2 linked regions of the Drosophila melanogaster genome follow. The protein of the gene in region 1 interacts with the protein of each later gene in a pairwise test. Each region holds a gene or a part of one and is shown on either strand. Other genes may lie near its edges. The genes, in order: CG14535 and HP6.

Region 1 (5,123 bases):
GATATCCTCTGCAATGATCTTCTTCCACGATTCCGTTAGCGATGTCTTCTGGCTTTCAATTTCTTTTTCAATATCCCTCTGTTGGGCCTGTATTTCTTGCAACTTGCAGGTTTTCCACTGTTCCTGGTGCTGGGCAATGTGACCGATCAATGGCATCAGCGCTTCGAGGCTTCGACACGATCTGTCTCCTCGCATCCTGAAGGTGATGCATTTATAACTATTGCGATAATTGCGTAATATAGGAGAACTTTCAGCTGGAACATGCTTAGCAAATTGAACCTCTTTAGACGAACGTTTATAATGCACTAAATGTGAATTCCTATGCTGCAGTCTGAACAGCAGCGCAATATTGTTGATAAGAATTTATAGATATAATATATATTTTACTGGAAAAATAAATATCATGCTAAGTATTTTCAGCTTACGCTAAAAATAAAAAATAATATAAGCTATAGTGATAATTATGACAACAGCGCAATATGAACAGCAGCGCAATATTGTTGATAAGAATTTATAGATATAATATATATTTTACTGGAAAAATAAATATCATGCTAAGTATTTTCAGCTTACGCTAAAAATAAAAAATAATATAAGCTATAGTGATAATTATGACAATACTTGGATTGAAATTATATATAAAAGCATATCATGAAAATATATTAAACAGTAGTACAGATAAGCAGGAACTTTTATGTTAAATATAGTTTAACGATTTCTTATTTTCATTGCATGTTAATGAACTCAAGATTCAAACTACAACGCCGTTGGCGTTGCCACGTTATGTTCGCCCGCCAGATGGCGCCGCAGCTAGCCTCCAAACTGTACGCAAGTGCTTCTCAAACTTTTTATCTCCATTCACCGAACTTGAGCTTTGTTTCGTTTATTTGCTTGCGTTTTATTTTCTTTGGCGCTTGGATTGCATACAATTTGATTTGCTCGATGCGGAAAAACGATTTTCACGGAATTTCCCTTAAGTATTAAGATAATTAGTAGCGAAACACCTTAAAACGGATTGGATTACAGCCCTTTTCCCGCAGCCACCTTAATAACAATCAGCCGGGTCCACTTTAATTGACCCGTTACCGTTGTCCACTTGGTGAAAAAAAATGGAAAAAAAGTAGAGGTAAATCCGTGCAAGCCCCATCCATTCCGGTGCACACATGCTTTTAAACCCGAACACACACTCAACAGCTCCTTCACGAGCCTGCCAAATGTAAGCGAACTTAAAAACACATCGTTTGCATTTGGCCCCTCTGCCCACCACTCACCCATCCCCATCCACGAAAAGCCCCATCATCACCTCACGCCCACTCTGCCCCCTGAAAAAGCCCCCTCCATCAGCAGAAACTCCAAGCGGCACTTAAGTGACGCTCCAGCAGCTCAACTATCACCATGTCCATATTCCTTTTATTCCAGGTACTCACGCAGAAAAAAGGTATATTGTATTTGTACTGTTGCATCCCAGAGGCGGTAAAAGCTATGGATTTCAATCTTTGAATGCTAACGCCTGCACTTTTAACTCAATTTTTGGGGATAACCAACTTTTAAGTATTTATAAAAAAGATTTTGTTATCTATTTCTTAAGCTATATATTCTTTTAATAGTTTAGTAATAGTGTTTAAAAATATTTAACAATGAGACCATACTTTATAAATTTTTTTTTTTTTTAAGTAAAACATATTTTTTGTATAATACATTACATTATTGTTTTAAGGTAAAGAAATAATGGTTACTAGCGTTTAAAGATCGAGTGACCATGGACATCTTCTAGTAAAGACGAGGTATCACTCTATTTTAATGTTCCTGGCCAGTGAGCATTTTGACGTCTACAATATAAACATCATTTACGCTGTTCCTTTTGTTTTAGCCTCGCTGATTTTGTTTACCTGAGCCTCAAAGCCACTGTCGTTGGCCGAAAGCAAGAGATTTTCCGAAAGAGAGTGAAAGAGTGAAAGTCCGACTACCCTTGGGGTCAGCAATGTGGCGTTACCATACGCGATTCGCTCTTTCTTCTGGCACGCCTGCGCCAAAGAGAGGCGGAAAACTCTTGGGAAATTCAGGCCCAGACCGAAGACCAAAACCGAAACCAAAAACCCGACTTCAGTTGCCATTGTAATGCCAACGCAATCGGCACGCGTTTGGCTTTCGCGCCTGGCGGGTTTTTTATTTATTATTCGCTAAAGTGACAAGCCAATACAAAAGAAAAACAACAAAGCTCGCTGAGAATCGGGGAAAATCCCAGTGTGTTGAATATAAAGTATAAATCATGTGCGAGGAAATCAAGGCAATTTGGAAAGTCGAAGGAGTTGAGCCAAAGATGAAATCAACAGCGAGAAATTGCCAGTCATAAAAAAAGGGTTTGTGTTTGTTCCTGTTTCGTGTGTGTTTGCGTGCCAGTGTGCTTGTGTGTGTGTGTTGTGCCAAAAGGGAAATCCCTTAACCCCCGCCTACCCGCTACCCCGCAGGACCCTTAACCCCTGACTTCAGCTAGACTCCCCTATTGTGCGTCGTGTACAATTAGAAGGCATTGCCAATCGATTTGTGTGAAAAGCCAAAGCTAAAACTCAAAAGGTGGACGACGCCAGTCCTCCAATAAAAAGCGAACTGAAACCGGGCAGGCAAAAAAAAAGTAAGGGACAAACCCATATAAAAGAATGGAAAAGCTGCCGAAGAAGTTCCCTCCAGTTGGCAGGTGCGCGTAGCCTGAAAAATGAAGTTGAACCGACCCGAAGTTGTTGCCTGTCATTCAAAGGGGATGGCAATGGAATGGCAATACAGAAGAGGCCAGCGTGTATGGAATGGGGAAATTGGGGCTGGGAATCGGGGGACAATATTAATGAAAGACGTTGCAAAAACGTCACGTTTTCCCCAGTCAAATTGAAATAATAATAATGAAGGCATTGAAGAAATGTCACGGCCCGCGACTGACAAGTAAAAATGAAGAAATCCAGTGGAATTTGCATGAATATCTCAAATATATGTAAAGTTCAGCACAACAAGTAAAGTTAATAATTTCAGTGATATAAAACATAACAAGCACGATAAGAAGCATGCCCCAAAAGCATGCCATTCCGATATCTAAGTTTGAGTGACACGCCTTAGAAAGCCCATCCCAAAGGAACATTTTAAAGATGTTCAGACAGTTCCTCAGAGAAATGAAATAATAACTTAATTAAACTCAAGAATAAAAAAATAAAAATTTAAAAGTTAATAAAGCTTTGCAAAAGCAACGGAACCTTTACCAGAAATATTGTGTGACTATAACAAATTTAAATTTAAGGTATTAGAAATTAAACCACATTTAAATATATAATCAATTCTAACAGTAATCATAGAAAAGTTTTTAATTAATTTTTTAATTAATACTGTAACTAAAGTCCTAATGTTTTCGGTAATAGAATGCAAAACCTCTAAAACACTTTATAGCTCCAACAAAGAACTGAAAATTGTTAAAAGTCTGGGCTTAAAACTTTTTTTAATGACCGAAAGGAACTTAAAAGCGTGTACATAAACTTTTCAAATAGAATTAAACTGATGTGAAATACGACAGTCCCAAAAGAACACTAGAAAGACAACGAAGCGCATAATTTCCCACCATAAAAGCCCAAGCAAATTCAACATAAATTTGATTTTATGCACAAGATGCTACAAGTGAATAAAACACGAGCTTAGTGACAGTGACAGTGCGAGCGTGATAGTGATGATAGTACAGTGAAGCATATGCCCAATAAACAGATGGCCCATAACCATAAAGCGAAAGTGTTATGGCCATTACCGAAGGGCAAGGACCCTTCTTGGCGGCAGGACCAAATAACTTATGCCCATCGGGCCGAACCGAAATCGCAATTTATGACAGGCCCAGCAACTATTTAAAGAACCATAAAACCCCCAAAAAACAAACAAAGTTTATGGGGAGTGACGATTGCATTTTAAGATCCCCAGACATAAAACAAAAGCCAGGATTTGGGCCTCTTATTAACTCCCAATTTTATTCGTTACCCCTCCCCACAAAAGGAAACGCAAGTGCTTCCAGCAATAAACTTCCACCGCCAACTGTGGCGAACAATAGTCAAGGAACCATGGCCACCACCAGTACGTCAAACATGTCCCGCAACGGTGGCTTCTGTGGTGCATTGCAGCGGGCACCGCCGCCGATGCCGCCGACCCTCATCCGACGCCTGAGTAGCCGGGAGTGCTACGGAGTGGGCAAGGTGAAGGTCATGCTGCGGGTGGCGGACCGGGACAGGAACTCCGGCGGAACCGAGCCGGACTTTATGGCCCTGGACAAGAAGAAGCGACAGGTCACGCTCACCGATCCGAGAACCGCGTGTCCGCCGCCCCAGGCTGCCCAGGAACGGGCGCCCATGGTGGCCGCTCCCAAAATGTTTGCATTCGATAACCTCTTCACTGGCGAGGATAAGCAGGTGAGTTTCAACCTTAACGAAAATCTGAATGGAGTGCACGTTCACACATGGATGTTGAACCAATTTATTTAAAGCATCCTTAGATCCAGAATAAGTTTAAGAAATAGGTATAAAACATCATAAGTATAACATCAATTAAATCAAGTTGAAATATTCTAAAAATCGTTTGAAAAATATGTAGTTAAAAGTATTAATTCTAATTTATTTAAATGTAAATAGCAAATTTGTTTAAATAATAACAAACAAGAGCAACCGTTACCAAGTAAACTAAATACTTGATTGGTTACTGTTGACACACAGTATAATTTAGGTGGCAAATAACCCTTATTAACAGCTATTAATTCTTGATAAACAAACAAAAGGCCCACCTAATAATAATAAGGGTAATACAATATTGACAATAAAACCATTCATTATGTACAAAAAACTACAAAACTTCCGGCAACTGAGAGTTAACACTTTGCCAGTGTACTTTGCTTTTCTCAAAATCAACAAAACTTTCCAGACTTCTCGCGATGTTATTTGTCTGCAGAAAAATGTCCCTAACGTAAATATTGAGTTGCAATTATAAAAGTTAAATTGACCGTGGGAATCCTTTTGTGAGAAGGGCACATCTGTGCATTATATGAATAATTTGGTGCAAACGATAAATGTCTGGATTTTTTGTCTCGAAGCTATGCCATTTAACTTGTTAAG
Region 2 (3,267 bases), 3.3 Mb from region 1:
GGCTAGTGTGAACACACCCAAAAAGATTGCGACCGGATGCTGACGCGTCATCGATGTCGATTGCATCCAGTAGTTGGGAATTTTTCAAGTTAATTCGTGCACTTTGCATGTGAGTGGCAATTGGGCTTTGATTGATTTCGAAATGCCAGGCGGCGCCCCATTTTATTTCGCTTCTTCTCTTTCTTGTGCGCTTTTGCCATAAATCTTGCATAAATCGATTTAATCTGCCCCTGGCCACGCCCACCTGCTGGTGGGCCCCTCAATTAATTATACTTTTTCAATGTCAAAATGTCGCTGCAAGAAAGGTGCGCCACCAATTTAACCCTTTTTTTTATGTACGTATTAGTTGACTGCGTGAATCTTGAGGCGCCTGCAACATGGAATCTGAGAGCTGAGTCTGATCCTGCGGCTTAACCTTCTTTTCTAATTGCAGGTTTTCCAACGCCCCGATGTGAAGGTCACTGACAGCATTAAGTGCACTGGAAAAAGTTTAATGAGGCAAGTGCACCATTTATGAACTGTTTTTTTTATGAACTTTCAAATACCCCTACAGACTTTTCGCTCGGTGTATACATACACGTATAATTTCGCGCCCGGCAGATAATGCCGCCGGCCTGTCTCCAACATCAAGCTGCGTCTAGGAGGCGGAGGGCGTGGCTGGGCCGAGCTAAACTCACTTATTCACCTGCCCGCATGCCAACAAAGTGCAGCATCAGCAACCAGTTCGCATGAAAATGCATAATCAATCACCAGCGACAACGGCGACCAGAAAATGAAGAAAAACTCGTGGCAGAAGAGTCAATACTCTTTATTGACATTGCACCGCAATGTCTTCGGTGCACAATAGTTTTATGGACTAGGCATTTCGTGATCGTTTCTTCCTGGGACTCGGAGTGGTCTCATACCCATTGTCCGACTCCAAGTCTTCTTCATCGCCCTCATCCGTGAACACAATACGCTCCTCGTAGAACGAGATGACCATTTGGGGGCACCGAACGTTGAGCACTTCGGCGGGCACCAGGCCGGCTTCGTCGCAACCCTTCCACTGCATCAAAAAGGTCAGCTTACCGGACCAGTTGCAGGCTCCTAAGATCCGCAACGGTTCGAGTCCAAGATCAAATCCATTTCGTTGCTTCACCGGAAGAGCAGTAGAGGACGTCAAAGTGGAGCTGGGCATCTTCCGTTTGGTTTTAGATATCGTGGGATTTATTTCAATGTAATCTATTTTTCTTTTTTCGACGCGCGTAGCCAATTGTCACGTTTTGTCAAGTGTTTACACACCGAGATATTATTTTTCAGTTTCGATAACTGTAGGTATCGACATGCTTTGGCAACCCTTTCGATGTGGCAGCCCTAAATGATTAATTTGAAAAGCGTTAGAGAAAATGGAAATAAAATTGTACACTCCCCTTGACTGGACATATTCTTTCAGATTTAGTTAGGGTATTGTGCATTCCAACGCCCATTGAGCGTATCATTGGTGCATCTTCATCTGACATTTCGCACGACTCGAATGTCAAGGCGCGATTGCCGGCGATACTACTTGCGATATTGGCCTCTTACGCGGCTCCACTTGTTAACTTGAATTCGTGTAAAGTGGCCGCTCATTAAAAACTCATAAATCAGGGCGGAAGGGAGGAGGGTTTTCGGTGGCACCGCCGCCAGTAATTGCCGTTGCTGGCCCAGTGTCAAAATAAAGGCAAAATAAAGGAACCCAACTCGTCGGCGGAAATGATCGGCCACCAGGTGATGGGGATGGTGGGAATGGGGCATATGGATACTACAGCTAGCTGCCAGTAATTTCCGCATATTGGAAGTCTCGTACTCTCAGATGGGCATGTGATTAATGATTAATCTGCTCGGTGCATCCGCCGCTATGACATTTAGCCAACGCCGCCTGAGAACCCGCTGCAGCAACAAAAAGAATCCGATTCGGAATCAGAAACAGAAACAGAAGTCGGTGGCGGGGTGGCCAGTTAAAGCCGAGGTCTCCGGTCGCCAGTTGGAGCCATTAAACGCCGCTGGAGCTGCTTGGGCGCACAATTTAAAGCAGCAACTAACGCAGTTAGACAACAAACCACTTTCAAGAGCTGGCTGGCAAACAGGGAAAACGGCTTTCAACTCGTTTCGCTGCCCGCTCAGATGCAGTTGCATACACTGAGGAAAGTGATGTATGAGTTCTTCAATTTAATCGATTTTTGTGTAAGAATATTTGGCTCGGTGTGTATGTATTCCAGAAAAATAATTAATTCCAAAAGTATTTAGAAACAACATAAACTTTTTCTACATTTTCCAAAAGCTTTTATATTTAAGAACATATATATTATTAGTTTTTCATAGGAAATAATTTTCCTTCTCAAAACATATTTTTTCAAGTGTACTGCCGTTAATGCTGCTGATGCCGTGGGTGCAGCCGTTGAATGTTGCATGCTGCTAGTACGTTCAACTTTTGCAGTTAACAGTTAGATTTTGAAATGGCCAGCAGCACTGGCATCGTCGTCGGCAATGGTATCGGTTCTCTGGGATTCCAGTTTTCTGGCCACAGCCTGAGAACCCGGCGATCAAGATGCGCGGCTCCACCACGACGGAAGGAAATTGCCGTCCAAGGCGAAGTCACAGCTCCGATCGCAGCATTGCGCACATCAAATAAATACTGGTACTTGGCAATTTTTGTGTTAAAACAAAATTAAAGCAATGCCAGCCGTGCTGCTCTGCGGTGTAACATTAACCCAAATACATAATTCCCATTCTCGCCTCATCGGCATCGGACAAGGATCGGCGCATTAATCATTGGACGGCAGGGGGACAGCTCTTGGGAAGCGGCAGCATATTTGGGTTTATGGGTGAGCCCCAGTATCCTAAGCAGGAAATCATTAGAGTGCGATCCAAGGAATCCGCAGGGGTTTGGCTCATGCATACATACTTATACGTATTTCTTGGGAATTTTTTTATAGATCTTGGCTCTGCCTGATGGTCGGTTTCTAAGCCATCAAGCGGAGATCATCGCGTGACTGGGCAACAAAAACCCATTATAAATTCCTCACATTTATGATGTGTCCTTCTGTCAGCGATGATAAAAGATCCTACCAATCTGTTCTAGTCTTGTGAAATAGTCGTGTTTTGGTGGAGATAAATATATATTGATCATGAGTGTAAATAAGCTTGCCAAGAGCTGTTGGAAACTATTTGTGCAACATATCCACTTCTAAGAAGGTAGGTTTTTCGCATGGGCATGTGAAAAATAAGAGCTTTAAACAAAATCTCCAT

The links.
Region 2: the proteins of CG14535 (region 1) and HP6 interact in a two-hybrid assay, tested with the Drosophila melanogaster proteins (one large-scale study listed by BioGRID).

Annotation. Positions count from the first base shown.
Region 1 is NT_033779.5:7,852,261-7,857,383, reverse strand, and holds the start of CG14535 (uncharacterized protein), read left to right. Parts: upstream 1-1,908; 5' UTR 1,909-2,360; intron 2,361-4,017; 5' UTR 4,018-4,082; coding exon 4,083-4,427; intron 4,428-5,123.
Region 2 is NT_033779.5:4,576,927-4,580,193, forward strand, and holds HP6 (heterochromatin protein 6), read right to left. Parts: upstream 1,293-3,267; 5' UTR 1,178-1,292; coding exon 857-1,177; 3' UTR 793-856; downstream 1-792.